Linked DNA regions of Styela clava. The protein of the gene in region 2 purifies or fractionates together with the protein of the main gene of each other region. This does not show direct contact. Links are inferred from orthologs where the notes say so. Each region holds a gene or a part of one and is shown on either strand. Other genes may lie near its edges. The genes, in order: disks large homolog 4-like and kinesin-like protein KIF13A.

Region 1 (8,474 bases), on a different chromosome or scaffold from region 2:
GAAAAGATATTTTTGCACACAACAACCAGGCTATAATGGGGATAAATTATTCAACAGTCTGCAACAGGCACCTGTCAAAAGCAACCTGGCACTGTCAGTCCTCTGCCAATCTAATCCCCATTGACACTGCATAGTAAATGGATGTAAAAAGCTTTGGCAAATACCGCAACAATATTATAAGACAAGAAGACTCATCAAAAAAATGCAAATTCCAATTAGCAAGAAAAAAAGATTCAAAGAATCTTAAAATATGATAGCAAATTTGTTTTTCTTCCATTGGGTGAGTGTATTTCATGTTTCAAAGAACTGAAATTTCAATAAAAAATCATCTTGAACATATCAATCTTAGGAATAATGCCGTCCTTTTAATGTCAAAGCATGTCTTCTTACCCAGTGGGAATTCCTAATACAACATAAGTGAGTGGCAGATACAGGTATTTGTGTCATTTGTGTCAAGCTGTCAATGCACTGCATAGCTCAATCAGTTATTCTGTGTTGCATGAGTTTGACAACTGAATTCACTATAGATAGGAAGTTATAAAAAATGTTCATGATGAAGTCATTTTAGCCAACTTGTTACTAAAGAGTTGCAAAACTGCGCAGGTCTTACACGAAGTCTGCATTTTCCCTTATATCCATATTTAGAAACAAGCCTGCACAATGAGTGCAATTAACTGCTGCAGTTTCATGTTTGTATATAATTTTTAGAATCCTGAAGGGTTACAGATGGTATTTGGCACTGTACCACGGATATGAATTTGGAATTCTGTGCAATTCAGCTAGTTATATGAAGCAATAAATAAATAGGCTTACAAGTATAAAGTTTTATCCAATATTGATATTCTGGGATTCTGATTTGGCAAATTTTAATATAGAATATTCTAAATGGCTTTTCTTCTAAAAACAATAAATTTCACAAAAAACAGTCATTTGATTACGCAAATCTTGAACATGATTTCTCTTTGAATAATAGAAATTTTAACTGTTTTTTAGACTCATTTCATTTGAATTCTTCAGACATCTTTACACAAGATATTCAAAAAAGCATATTTGCATAATTACATTTAAAAAATAAAATATAAAATTTATTTCTAAGCCTTTTTTTAGCTGAAGAAATAACCTATTTCAAACAAATATAGCGAATATCGGGACATGAAAACAAAGACTAAACAATAATCTATAAAAAAATTACTAAATGCTCAAATCTCCCATTTTGAATTTATATACACAAGAAGGTATAGGAGGCCATAGCAGCTACTCACATGTTCCATTGTAAGGGCACTGGTACTGAGCTGATATTCTCTCCGAACATGATCACGGTTTGTTCTGAATTCTTCTGTTGGTAAATTTCCATCTTCCTTGACTCCACTAATAGAGCCGTAGTTGTTTGAAGCAGGTTGCTGATGATAGTATTGCTCCAAATGTTTTGAAGACTCTTTTATAGTCAGTTCATAATATTCGTGAATATCTGAACAAAATATAATAAGGTAATATTCACACCTTTTCAGATGAAACAAACTGTGTCATCCCATCCTAAACAGCACCCCTACATGTAGGCCTATAATCACCAAAATTTATATTTTTTCATACTTTAGGTAAAAAAATGTAGTTTCCCTCATTGAACCATACTTACAAATCATAAACCCAAGGTTTGATGAACAAAAGTGCAGTTAAAAAATTGTTAAAATTGTTCTCATGTCTAACCAGTTGAGTGAACTATACCCTCAAGGATGATAGCATAGATAGAGCACAAGTAAAACAAACAAAGTGTGAATCGACTGCTGACAAAACTGTGATAGCCACATAAGATAATTCATTACAACTCATGGAGGCTCAATCTACATACTTGACTAAATGTGGCATCCATTTAAAAAACATCTATCCCTTCTTCAATAAACTTACTATCTCAGTGATAGTCGATGTGATAAGATAATATCAGTTTTATATTAAGTATGAACTTAATATAAAAAGTAGGTAGGAAACCTAGTTTAAAACAAAACGCATTTCAATTTTTTAAATATTCCATCAATGAATCTGAACAAATAATCATGAGTGGAAGTTGTTAAATAGATGTTAAAAAATCATTGCAAACCAAACAAAATAAATTCAGCACATCTAGTATATTGACAAAACTATGGTAGATCAATTCAAAAAAAAATTTTGAGTAAATCATGTATTCTGATATTATTGTAGCTTTCAAGTCTTGTTATGATTAATCAATCACTATTGTGGATATTTGACTCAGATATGGTGGTGCCATTAGTCAGGGATCACTTATCCATCCCCTCAACATGGTTGTAACTAGGTAAGCAATGCCAGTTATGTTTCACAACACACACCCCTCTCAAGTAGCCGGTTTAGCACAGCTTTGTTAGAAACAAACATGTGAAACCTTTCATGGAAATTATACATAGTAAGACAAACAAGTAAAAGCATCACAATATATTATAAAATGATAAAAACATTGAGCAGTGATAAAAAATAATGAGATCCAAAATTTGAATTTATGACAGTCAAGCTCCAAAATCTTTGAAAAAAAAAATGAAATGACTTTTTTTCTTAGATCATGCATGTTCAAATTGACTAATATGTTGTAAAAGAACAGTTGAATATAAAAAAATTTAATGATATTCAAGCACTAAAACAGAATTTTAATTTGGTAAAATGGTCAAATATATTACATACCTAAGAGAGCGTAAAATAAATCACTTCTAAAAATATCCATGACTTTTTCAAGTGCATCTCTTAGCTGACTATCATCAGGTTTGTTCAGTTTTAAATGATATTGCTTCAGAAGGGCAAGAGCACGGTCAGCATCTAAAAACATTTAGAAAAAAATTGATTGGTAATAAAATAAATCGTGAGCACCTTTGAAAAGCTAATATTCTCAGAAAATCTTAATTTTTAAGTTCTTAGCAGTTCACTATAGAATAAACCAGTGGTTCTTTAAACTTTTTAAGTCCTTTCAGAATTTGTCTAGTCTCGCGCCCAACCTCAAAATAACTAGCTAACAATAGGCTACAAATAACAGATAGTAGGAGGAAAGTATGTTTTGTTAAAAACAAAACATTGAAAATATGTGAATGGAATGTAAATAATGGAATGAATGTAAAGTTTTTAAAACAAACAGGGGCAAGCAAGATCAAATCTAACAAATATTTTTTATTTTTAATTAGCTTCACGCTCCCCAAGAAATTGTCTATGCCCACGTTGTTTGAGAACCACTGGAATTAACTATAAGACTGTATGAGCATAAAGATAGTATTCTAACACATGGCTGGTCAGGTCTCCAAGACATAATGAATCTGACTGAATTGTGGTCCATAGAACCATACAAATATCTTTACCTTGCTTTCTTACAGGCATCTTCAACTTCAGTCACGTCCCGAATATAGTAATATCATAGAAACATAAAATGGGAGGTACATTACTCCGTGTGGGTTCTGTAACTGAAATTTCAAAAATACCCTGAAAATTTGATATCAATGAAAGAAGGAAACATTGGACCACAAAAATTCAGGACATATGAAACAGCGAAATGCAATAACATAATCATATCCAATTTAAAGACTCTAGTACAATGAGTCGAACACTGGTCACTTTTTCAATGACATGAGTTATCTAAATCAGTGATAACCAAAACTCTTTTCAAGTGATCTGAATTTTTCAAAAAAATAAAAAAAAAAGTTTGTTGAATCTTGAAAGAAAAAGTTTGTTGAATCTTGCAACCCAAAGATATGTTTAGATACCAAACGACAAGTGGTGCATCTATGCCTACAATTGAAATTACCAATATGAAAAAACATTAGTATTGGTTTCTTATCACAAATTTTTGAAATTGTACGTCTGTACGTGGATTTCTTAGGCAAAATAGATTTAAGCTTTTAGTTCATGATACTTCCCACATACAGACATATATACACTTAAGACTACTATTGAGCAACACTTCAATATGTACAGACTTGGTCCAAAATAAACAATTCAATTCACTACAAAGATAAAATCAATAACTGTATCGCCTTTGTTAAAAACTAAGCGACCCCAAAATTTCCAAGTGACCCAGCTTTGGGATGCGACCTAAGCACTGATCTAAATGAAGGTATTTCAGGTTACTCAAACTTACTGAACACCACCAGCGAAACTTGAATTGACTCAAAAATATTCTGGTGAAATAAGATTATCCCATGACAGCATGAATTTATGTGATATGGGAAAACCGAATATTCAATAGCTTGTTGCGCCAATAACAAGAGATTGTTTAGTGTTGATGCCTAGGTAAATATTATCGATTTAATTCTATTCGATTTACAAAATAATGCTGGTCTAACACTCTGACACTAGACAGGAACTTTAAGTTTTCCTTTATCCATTTCACTGTTGTTTATAAAATATACTGACTCGAAAATGCAAGGGGTCTGGTATAGTTTAGTACCACATCCACTTCTAGTTGGCCTGGCTCAACAATTTTTGCATATGTCAATCCTAACCCCCACATGACTACGTCAGCGAAAAATTACGTCATTCCGACGTCACAGTGGCGTAATAAGGCCCACCGAAGTATGCGGATGGTCGTCCAAAACGCGCAGACGATAACCCGAAATCGAGCAAGCTATTTCTCTCGTTTTCTCGTCGCAACGATCGCGATAAGAGAGAGACTTTAGCAAGTTCTTATCGGCGGCGCAGATGCCATTTCGGGCAATCGTAATCATACTTTGGCAATCCCTATGACGTAATTTTGTGACGTAATTTTTGGATGGCATAGTCAGGTGAGGGTTAGGAATAACATATGCATAAATCGTTATGCTACGCCCACTGGAAGTACTTGTGGTAATAAACTATACTAGACCCAATGCAAGAATGAGATTGCAGGATTAGGACCCCTGTACTCCTGCACTTGCAACTTGAGGCTTAGGGACTTTATATCAGACACTGAAAAATATTTGATCGGATTTTGGACTACATGAAAAAGATACAAAATCTATTAGTACAGATTTATCAATTATAACAACATTCAGACTTTAGGTTCCAAAACCTATTTTCTGTATTTAATAGATTGACTGAGCATCTGACCATTTTGTCCATCAATTATAGAGGCATCACACAGCTAGCGAGCATTTTTGAACTCGGCTCTTTGAACCACGTACTACAGCTCTAATACCTACGGTATACTTGGCAGCGGGATAAAACAAACCACGATTATATCTCACACTTCGCGTAATACGCGAATTTTAAATACAATACTCAACATGGCGAATCAAGACGGTGATATATGTCACTGCACAATATTATATTCGTAATTTGGGTATTAAATCTGTAAATACTAAAATTGAATCGTGAAGAAAACAGAAGGCCATACATCTCTACTGAAACGAACAAGCCGCCGTTTGTGTCTTTTTACATGGGTTACCGTACTGCTGAATTGCGAAGTTTCTGGGAATAAAACACATCCTATCTTTATCGAGCATGAAGTTTCGGACGAATATAATAATTGAAATATCAGTGGGCGAATTAACTTCACTGGAAGTCGTTTAGAGGTCGATGCGAATTTTGTAATCGGTGTTATCCTCAATATCTGTATGTGCTTTTTCTACTCCCATAAATTTCCTTTAGCACCGTTTTCATGAAAACTAATGGAATCAAATTCGTTTTATTACTTTTATCACTGGTCAGTGGCAAATTCCATTAATAAGGCCTAAGAAAAAAAAAACGACATTTGTGACGTCATTGATGACACCGATTTACATCGGCTTCATAAGAACTTGCTAATTGTTAACGTTGGTGTATTATGCTCGCTGGCTGAACGCCAAAGCGGGACTTTTGACTGACCGGTCGGGACGCCGGGACAAGACGTTAAAAAGTGGGACTGTGGGACCAATGACATTAAACAACATGATGCGCAACTCCGGCATTTTTGGCCGAAGATCGTATCCAATAGCACGCTCCAATGCACATACTTGACGAGACGAAAACGAGCGGATGTGTGCTGTTTTCAAGGTATAGCACAAATGGTGTTCGTGCCTGCTTTGACAGTTGTTATCAATTTTAATGATATTTTGGAAAGTTGAGGTAAAAAGAAATCGGAAAAAGGTAAGGTGAATACTATTGTTGTATATCACACCCGGGCATCGCACTGTTAAGTACATCTGGAAAAGCCAGCTTTTGTCAAATACTACGAAGTTATTAATTCAGCACGATACGTAGTTGCCCATTTGCCGAAATTGCATGTTTACCTAACCTTTATGGTTTCAAATAGTTCATGCACCTCCATTTAGATTTTTTTAATCAGTGAGGATATATACTCATTGCTGTAACATACTATTGCTCATTCACTTTTATTTGCGTATTGAATCAAAAGGTTAACAAGTTCACCTAACATTTCACTCATACCGGTCTATATTGTATAGTCTGATCTCTCAAGTATTTGGAGCCACGAATGCTTGTAATTTTCTGACTAAACCCCTTTATAGAGGACTTGCACGGGTCACGTGACCTTGTTACTGGACGGCAATAAAACAAAAACGTCCATTTGGCTCCTGTCAGTTGCAAGTCGGATTATACGTTTCCGTTTTGTTTGGCTGTTGAAAATGGTTATTTCGTATTGTTCCGCTGGCTGTACGTATAGTATAGACAACGAAATGGAACTTCAGCTATATTCCACTGTTTTCAAAAGATCCGGAACGTCGCGCAATGTGGATATCATCTATTGGCAGGACTGCTTGGTGTCAAGTCCAGAAGCCATCTTACTCGTGTTTCACTGTTTGCGGACAGCACTTCGTTGATGGTGAGTCATGATGTGCCGTTATCAATTTTTTTAAATATTCATAAGCTCCCTCATTTCAATGGAAAGCAGATGACAAACTATTGTTATTGGTAGGCTTAGGCCTACTTGCAGACTTGACTCGTGTAAGGTATTAATCAATAATTGCCATAAGGTATTGTTTCCCTAGTTAGCAGGTAATCTATTAGTAATTGTGAAAATTTGAATAGATAACTAAAGTTTAATGCCAGTGCTAATGCAAAAAATAACCAGAATTCAATTGAATTTTCCATCTGAGAATACGCTCGCCACCGCATCTCTGATCCCCATGGGCAGATGGGAGTTTCACAGGTTCCAATCCCATGCGGGGATAGTTATGTGCGAGGGGACGAGGAGATTGCAGCTCCTCCCACTGAGGGTGGTTCATACGACCGCTGGGCGATTACGACATACCCCACCATCAAGTCCATGCTTCTAAAACAAATAACTGACTAACTAATCCCGACATAGAATGGTAATCGTACGATGTTGCACCTTGCAATCTGTCCCCAACCACAGATAAATTCTATCCTAAAAACTACCCACATTGGTAGGCATAGTTGCGTTTTAAATTGAAAGAAATCTTCATTAATGGTCAGAAGGTGTTGTCTGATTATTTTGGTAGTTAGCAGGTAATTTATTACTGATCTGATACACAAACTTGGCACTGTCAAATGATGATTAGTGTTTAATTTATTTTCAGGAAAAGGGAAGATAACCCATTATCAGCTGCTTACATGTTCCATCGATATTTGAATTTTCGCCATCCCCAGAGAAGAAGAGAATAGTTCGAAAAAGGAGGATTTTGAAGAAAGGAAAAAGGCAGGACCATTTCAACAAATTCTGTTAACTTGTATGCGTTGCAATATTAATTCGCAGTTGTTAGCATAAACATTTAATGTGTCTTTCGACTAGACCTACCACACTTAAAAAAAAACGCCCACACCCCTTTTCACTAGAACCATAATACTGTAAAATATTTGATAGAAATTACCCCCGAGGCATCATATCTTTCATTTGAAAGGGCTGTGGAGGCAGATACATTTTTTACTCTAAATTATGGAATGTTACTTCCAGGTTATCTTATCCTTGCTTATAGATATCTTGAGGTTAGTGACTCCAACTGACCCATGCATGCCACACTGAAAATTCTCTTGTGTACCCATAAAATAAGGCTGTTGGAGCCTTCAGACCTTGAAAACAGTCGAATCTGAGCACGATGGATTCATGTGAAACACATAATATGCATTTAGAGGCAAAAATATCCCATCCTGAGCAGCACCGATCCACAACATCCTGCCTATGGAATCAAAACATTAGACAAATTGGTGTACTGTGCGCATTCACAAATTTTTGCGAATCAAGTGTGCCTTTTGACTAAAGAAATTGTTTTTTGAAAATACATTTTTGATGTGCTTTATTTTTCAAATATAATTTATAATTACTGTAAAGTGTGTGATACATTTGGTACCATGAATACTATTTGCAAATTAGCTTGGGTTACACCCCTCTCAAATAAAAGTTTAGACTCTTAAGTCGTATCTCATAATATTCTTTAAACAAAAGGTTGCGGCTAGCTGGCTACCCATCAGAATTTCCTTTCAGATCACAAAAGTCGCAATATTACGCCTCGCTTAAGTTTCATTGGCAACTGTATCTGGTTGTAGTATCGGTGTCC
Region 2 (8,258 bases):
TATCAACAAAACTTTTCTCGTTACATTACTAGGAACAATCATTTTATGTTATGTATAGTATATGGATATAACGACAACAGGTAGGCTATAATAATATTATTTCAATTCTCGCCCATAAGTACAGCGTTACATCACAGCCATTGTCTGAATTATTAAACATGCCACAGTACACTTGAAAAGCAAACTCACAGCTTGTAAGGTTGTAAAATTTAAAAATGCAGTTTTCATTATGGTTGCTAAGGGTTACCACAGTCAATCAACGTGAGAACATAGATATATTGAACTTTAATTGCAGATATATGTTTGGTGCCTACTTGATCTAGAATACCATTAGATGCTGTTTTCCCTTTGAAATTCAACACATGCTACTCAACACTGGTATTACCTATTACGAGGCCAAGGTGATAATTAGGCATAATTTTGCTTTATGGTCTTTCGGCAACCAGCACTAGCAGATTATGGTAACTTTAGTGTCAAAGTCAAGTAATATTAATTGAAATTCAAAGAATAAAAAACACAAGATTCTGAGCTTACCTTGGTGTGTTTTCTGTTCACGATACATGAAAAAAAAATTTAATGATTATATTGACGCAGTGGTATAGGCCAGCCAGGCTCAATGATAGAGCAATGATCATGGAGAAATTCAATTATTTTGTACATGGTAATCAGCATAGATAGATTCTTTCTATATTTGCTTATTGAAGCAGGGTCACCAGCACAGCTCAAAAAAGAAAATCCTTCAATATCAAAATGAAGGACACTCCTGGTATGTCAAGAGTTATCAACAACTTGAAAATACATTTGAATCTGTTCAAATCAACAAAATCAGCAATTTAACAGCTGTATAAAAGAGACTTCCAAAAAAATTCTCGGAATTACAAAAACTATGGTCATCAACAAGCTTTTTAGTGTCCAACAACATTTTTTTAGTGTCCAAAAGTTAAAACACAAGAAGAACATACTGGCACATGAACATAAGGAATAGATTTAAATAATAACGCTTTAATAACTGGCAGCAAAATAGCAGGCAATGAACTCAAAATAAGTTCAAGTCCATATAAACTTGGGTACTTAATTTAATCTGGATTTTGATATGAATCAATCATATGAATAACTCATTTCAATTTTTTTATTTTTATAATGAGGCCTGGTAACTTAAAAATAATTTCAACAATTATACAATCATCCATGTCAAAAAAAAATTAGTTATTAACATGTGAAACTAATTAAACATACTGTCATATGAAAATGGCAACTGATCAGTACTGTAATATTGAGGAATTTATTAAAGTTGGAATTTTTTTCCTCAAAGGCCCTGTAGTTGAATGTACAACTATTAATAATATTGACTGCAAATAATATTTTTTGATTGTAAAACATTGCATTTTGTTGGGACAATCCCAGACAATTGATGAAATCATGGCTTTTAAACTAGTATAAAGTTGGTCAATATTAAGAAGAAAAGGACCATAATCCCCAAAGGGCATCTCAGGTCGTTATTATTATGACGCAAAATGAGAGACCATGAAAGTATAAATAGGTTTCTAACTAGATATTTCTTATTAATATTAACTTCTTTAATAAGGTATCAGTATGATTGAGATTTAAAAAATGATTGAATATTTGAATGTCAGTTTCTTTTAATAATAGCACATCATAGTACTTTAATATAGTTTTCTAGAAAAGTCATTACAAACAAACATTTCATCATTATACACACTATATTTCAATATATATACTATATGCAATAGCAGCAGCTACCAATGAAATATTTGATCAAAACCATGTGGTAATTCCCATGAAAATATTTACGCTGATAAACTTCGACAGATTCTGCTATGACTTGCAAGAACTGCTGTTGATTTAAAAATTATTCAATTCTACATATGATATGTTCACAAATAATTATATATTGATGTAATGAATTATTTTCATGAACCACACACATTACATCAGCATCGAACACTTGTAGTACAAAGACCAAAATGGTTCACCGTTCAAAGTTCATTCAAGTGCTCAACAACTACCTCAGTTGGCTACTAACAATTTTGTACTAGCTTGCCATGTAATTGGGGCGTTCTTGTGAAAAATAAACACATGTCAGATATACAAACAATATAAATATAAAGCAAAACAACTTTGTTTGTATAAGGGTATTAGGAATAGTGACACATCCCAGATAACAAATATAACATTAAAAAGGTTAATAAAATGTTCCAGTTTACCCTGGAATTTCAGTTTGACAATGCAGTTCACAATCAAATATAGGTCAATTACAACAAATTGCTAACATTTGCAATAGTAAATAACTACGGTATACTTAATTTTGCAAATACAGGAATCAATATATAATAGTTAAGAAGTGGGAATGCCAAAAACGAAAAATATAAACTTGGGAAAACATATACGATTTGTATTGTTCCAAATTTACAATGAGGCAACTGAGGTATTTGTTGTGCACTTGAATGAACTTTGAACAGTGAACAGTCCCAAAGATTTTTGCTCATTGTAATGTAACAGCAATGAAAAAAACATATATATATATATATAAAAAAATTATTAGCTTACTTATCAGGTGCCTTTCCTACAACAGGTGGAGGAAGCAGAATAGTTTGATTGTCTTCCATATCCACAACACAAATTGAATTCAATTCAATCTCTGAAAATAATGTGAAAAGTAATATTTCCTTATGAGAATATGCACAAAGCAGGGTCACATACACTATCTGTAAATTGATGAAACTTACTTAAGAGTAAACACGCAAGAGATGTAAGCCAGAGTGAACTGGGACAAAGTTAAATTTGGTTGATGCACAATATCAGATCTCCATGATATGTGAAAGCATGAGACGATGTACAGAACCCACAAAATCGAACTCGCAAACCTCAGATTAAATTTGGCAACGACCATAGTAATGTTGTTTGTCAGAATGCTATTTATATTATAATAAATAAATTTACACAAGATCCCTTCTTTAAAAAGTCGTCACCACATACATGAATAATAAATCTTTTGCCTCACCTCTTTTGTTAAAAGGTCTAACTCGCACGGCCACATTAACTTTTGAAGCTGTAGCAGGCCTTTTATCTTCATCTCCCTTACTCATCTTGATTTCAGTTTCAAATTGGATATAAATTCTTGTTAAATCATCAGTTACATTGGTTGTTATTTGCACAAGTTTCGTAAGTTGCAAGATAAAAATCCAAACAGAGTGAGCTGGTAAGTCTGCACACCTCAGTATAAGTCAAATGTGTTAAGCAACAGTTCCATAAATATTTCAAGTTAACAGAAAAAATAACAAAATAAGACAATATTAATATTAGTACTTGTATATATTGATAAAATGAAGACAAAGCGTTGTACAGTAGAATAGTTGTAGGTTCGATTACTCAATTTTTTGCTTGCCACCTACAGATAGGGATGCCACTTTTGGTCCTTGGATTTACGCGATTCGGGAAAATAGAGCGATTCACCAAAAAAAAAACATTGATTGTTTGTTAATCGTTGTTTTCAGCTGCATTAAATCTGCCGAATGCGATTATGCGGCACTCCAAATTATGGGATGGAAATGAAAATTTATTTTTCGTGATTGACTTTTTTACTGATCCGCCGTCATTTGTTTCAAGTTCAGCACAACACACTCTTTTACGTATTACTCGAGATGATGTGTGGCGTAATTTCCCCCAGACTGCAAGTTCAGTTTTCCATGAATTTGATGACACACATGCGCTGCGACTAAGTTATGGTACGCCCAGGCATGATTGGATAGAGAATCAGCTACCGACGACGATATTTAATTTTAATTAAAATTTAATTTGAACATTGTTCTGAGTGGAATATTTCGCGTACATTTAAAAGAACTATTAGATATTTACGATACTGCGATATTACGATATTTCTAGCAATGTCATAACGACAGATGGAAGTAGATAATACTTGAGGAATGGCAACTTGTGCACTGTTTTACATCAACACGTGCCAGATTTCATACCAGACCAAGCATACTGTGCGAATGTCGTCTTACTTTAGCTCCAGCTACCATGTTTGATCGAGATACAGCGTCGCCGACGACCAATTAATTATCGCTCGTCAGCGCCGCGTCCATTATGCATATTTGGACTTAATTACAAATTTAAACATAGTCCACAATAATAATAAAGCCTGAGTTTGTCAATACAGCAATACGCTGTTAGCCACAAAATATTCGCATCTCTGATATTTCAGTATTAATTTATAAAAAAAATTTCTTTCTCGCAGTCGTAGTAGTCAGTTGAACGAATCTTTTTCTTAAAATTAATTTAATTTATTCGTGGTCAATTTTATCGTCTTCAAGCATATTCTTGCAAGCATTTCCCATTTCAGAATTTATAGTAATTCAGATGCAATTAGAATGTTTTTTGTCGTATTACTGAATGCTGCTTGCATAAATATTTGCCAAGTATCTCCCTGTTTAGCATGCTCTATCACGATAATGAGCCTATAAAGAACAGAGATGGTACTCTGTTGGTGAAACTCTCCTTTATGCTGTTATGTACCGTATTTTCCCAACTCTGCAACTCACAAATTATGTAAAAAAAGGCAGCAGGGGTTTCGCCTCTTTGTGCCTAAACCAGGGAAATGTTTTAAATTGTCATTTACGCTGGTTTAATATTTAATTGTTTAATTTTTTTTGCATTCACCATGGCATACAAAAATGGCATAGGCCTAGTACTTGTAGTACTGTAATAGGCTAAAGCAGTGGTGCCCAACCTCTGCGAGCATGTCGAATCCCTGTCAGTGCTGTTCTAACTGACTGAACTAAGTAACGATGGGATATCTTTGTGCAGTCAAGACAAAACCAACATAAAACCAACACCAAAGACATAAGTAGAAGTATAACCTACCGTAAGTGAAATACCGGTACGCATTATTAGTCTATCCTACCAGTATCTGTATGGTACGGTACCGTATCTCCAGTACCGGTATCTACTATCTAGTCTTACGTTACGGTACCTCCTGACCTCAGTTATCTATAAACGTAGTTTCCTGGCTGTCGTACATAAGAAGTTGACGAAATTGCGAAGCTTCATTACAGCGAAATTCGGAAGAGTTCATTAGAGTGAAAAATCTAAAGTCAAGTCAAATTTGTGGATGTTTCTTCAAGCATCGATTTCCTTGTTTATTTCCGTAACAATGACGAATCATTAAAAAGTCAACATTTACGTAACAATGTGATTTTTGAAGCCGATCAGACACTTTGTTCGCCCAGACACTAGTAGTTAAGTAGTATATATTTACGCTCAGACTTATATACATGCATGGTTTTTGCGAATTTTCGTGTTATTTGTCCGTTTTTAGTAGTTTGAAAATTAGTTGCGAATGAAATATTTTAATTGTCATTAATATTATGTCTTCCGATGAGCTTCAGTTCAGTTGCAATAATCAAAAATTAGTCCCGGAGAAGCTGCGATAGACTATACGATACTATATGCGATACTAAACTATTAGTATCCTACATATAAATCAGTTTGTAAGTGTCAACTCTCCAAAACACTCGCAAAAGTCAAGGATCGGGGAAACATCCAATATCATCATTATTTTTTTTTATATATTATGTCAGGATTATGTATGTTAGTCGTCGAGAAGGATGCATGGAATTTAACTGGTACTGAAATGCCAAACCCCATATTAGTTTCAGAGATTTGAAGCAAACGCTGTGATATTTGCCGAAAATTCGAGAAAAAGGGCGTCTTTGTAAAATTAAATATGCAACATTTGGTGTAGGAATCTTGTTTTTTCAAAATAAAGTGCTTAGTGTTGAAATCTAAAAAATATCGCGCATCGATGTTAGGTTCAAAATCTAAAGCAAAATAGTAGATTTAATGAAAAGTCGAAGAAGGGCGCTTCCTAGCAATTCAATTTCTTTTGATAAAATGTCCCACATTTGGAGCAGAATTTTTTTAATATTATATAAAAGTGTATTACAATTAACTTATTTTAGAATGTAAAAAATTATGCACATCGATATCAGTTAGGAGATATAAAACAAACAAAGGTAATATTTAACAAAAAATTGAGGAAGAGGCGTCTGTAAGTCATTCTCTTGCGATTTGCTAATATATCTCATAATAGGAGTCAAAATAATGTTATTATTTTATGCTGAAAGACATTGAATTTTCTTTGATTCAAAATGTAGAAAATGATGCACATCCATTATATTTTATGAGATGTCGATATTTAACGATAAATTGAGAAAAAAGGACGTCTATGGACCTCTCCCCGACCTTTGGCCCCCAAAAAATTCCTTCTATGCTTTACCATTGCAAAATTTCCGGGGCTATTTTAAGAGTGCTTTTGCGAGTTGGCGCCTGTAAAATGGGGTATGTGTTTCAAACCATTATTATGATCCATCGCATACAACAATCTGTTTTTTAAAAGTACCGGTAAGGATTTTTAGCCTAGCCTGTCACAGCTATTTCGACACTAATATTTATTATGCAATTCAAGAGTCCTGCTGCACACTAACACAAATATATTTCTGTAACGTTTCTTCTGACCAAAATCAGACTTCCTCAGACAAGCAGTTGTAAACTAGCAGTTTTTATTAGCAGCAGGAAGTTTTTTCCCTGCTACAGCATCCTTGCATTACATGCATACGGATCCACTAGCGCAAAGGCATAGAGAAAGGATTGGGAGTTAGTCTCGCGCAACCTCTACTGATCCTAATATTTATTACTGCAATTAAATTAAAACTCGCAAAAAGACAGAGTTATTATTGAATTATCTAATTTATATTTAAGTTTCCGAAACACAATTAAAAACTAGCGAATGGAGTTCAAAAATGCAAAAACAAGGTAATGTTTACCCAGTATGTTCCCCAGCTTTTCATTTCAGGGGGGGTGTTTCGAAATTTAGGGGGTGGTAAATAATTTGCTATTAGCGATAAAACTATTTGTATTCTTAAAAAATTGGTATGTATTTAAGAAATGATGTACACGAGAGGCACCCCAAGTTGATTGACGGCGAGCCAAAACACACAACATAATAAAATTGTAGGGCCAGAAAAAGGGAGCGATGTAAAGTGCGCGACGACACGGCTGGGGTTCAGGGCGCGCTACAAGCGCCCTGAGAAAATTTTGAGAAATAGGCACCAAAATAGGCTCTAAGCTTGATTTTAGATACACCTAGCATGGCAGTTTGTTATGTGATGAAAATAATAATTATAATATTTAGCTGATAGAATTCTCGAGAAATAAATAACAAGCACGGCTTTCTTCAAGTAATTTGCAACTGATAGTGACTAATGAAGTTACTTGCTCATCTAGCATAATGACTACAATTATGGCTTGTTTTGTTACACATTCCACATTATTTTGAACATGTTTGTTTGACTTTTGTATGAATTAAACAATGAATTAAATTTTGAAATACGCGTGTCAACTGATCATAATGGCGCATAATGTTGTATTCCTTCAAAACTGAAATATTGGCATGGAAGACAAATTGCTGAAGTTTGATTCTTTTCAATAAAGAAATAAAAACGCTGCCATTCATATAAAAAACGTCTGTTTTCAGTGCCTAGTTTTCGTTTTGTGACATCTTTAAGCTTTCTTAATATACGGCTGATATCTAAAATACTGCAGTGTGTAATCCTAAAACCAATACGTATACATAAGATACCGGTATAATTCAATTGTTACGAAATAAACGTGCTCAAACTGTGATAATGATGTAACGATAGACGGGATCTAAAACTCAAAAGGTACCTCATGTGTTAAACTATTAAACTATTTTGGCGGGCCATTTTAAGTCGTTGCGCGGGCCGTAAGTGGCCCGCAGACTGCGGTTTGGAACCCCTCACCTACACTGATAAATGTGCCATAGTCGTTATATTTGAATACATTTATACTAGAGTTAGGAATTACAGTGTGGAATCGCACCTCAAAATTAGGGGGGTGTTTGAAATTTTAGGGAGGGTGGGGGGGGGGGGGGGCGGTGTAGGGAAATCACTGTAGTTTACCACCACGCTTGAAAATCTGTCTGAGTGAGAAAAGTGTCTGAGCGGATGCGAAAAGGGAGCATTGTTACGTCACTTTTTGCATCTTCCTGATTGACCAATGTCACGAAGTTAACAAGGAAGTCGATGCTCGGAGAAAGGTCCATACTCAATTTCGATTGAGTAGCAATTTACTTGCTATATAATATCACATTTAGGAGTAGAAATATTTGTAGTTTAGGGCTAGGCTATTAGAGCGCATTTGATTTGGAACTGCCGTAC

The links.
Region 1: the proteins of kinesin-like protein KIF13A (region 2) and disks large homolog 4-like purify together in Drosophila melanogaster (affinity purification with western blotting; 3 studies listed by BioGRID). This does not show direct contact. The link is inferred for Styela clava from reciprocal best matches to the Drosophila melanogaster genes Khc-73 and dlg1.

The regions. Positions count from the first base shown.
Region 1 is NC_135256.1:22,009,870-22,018,343, reverse strand, and holds the start of disks large homolog 4-like, read right to left. Parts: upstream 3,473-8,474; 5' UTR 3,367-3,472; coding exon 3,348-3,366; intron 2,818-3,347; coding exon 2,686-2,817; intron 1,469-2,685; coding exon 1,263-1,468; intron 1-1,262. UniProt on the Drosophila melanogaster protein: During embryonic development, some isoforms are essential for proper neuronal differentiation and organization. Required for cell polarity; maintenance of apicobasal polarity.
Region 2 is NC_135255.1:951,064-959,321, reverse strand, and holds the start of kinesin-like protein KIF13A, read right to left. Parts: upstream 3,254-8,258; 5' UTR 3,108-3,253; coding exon 3,023-3,107; intron 2,660-3,022; coding exon 2,569-2,659; intron 548-2,568; coding exon 535-547; intron 1-534.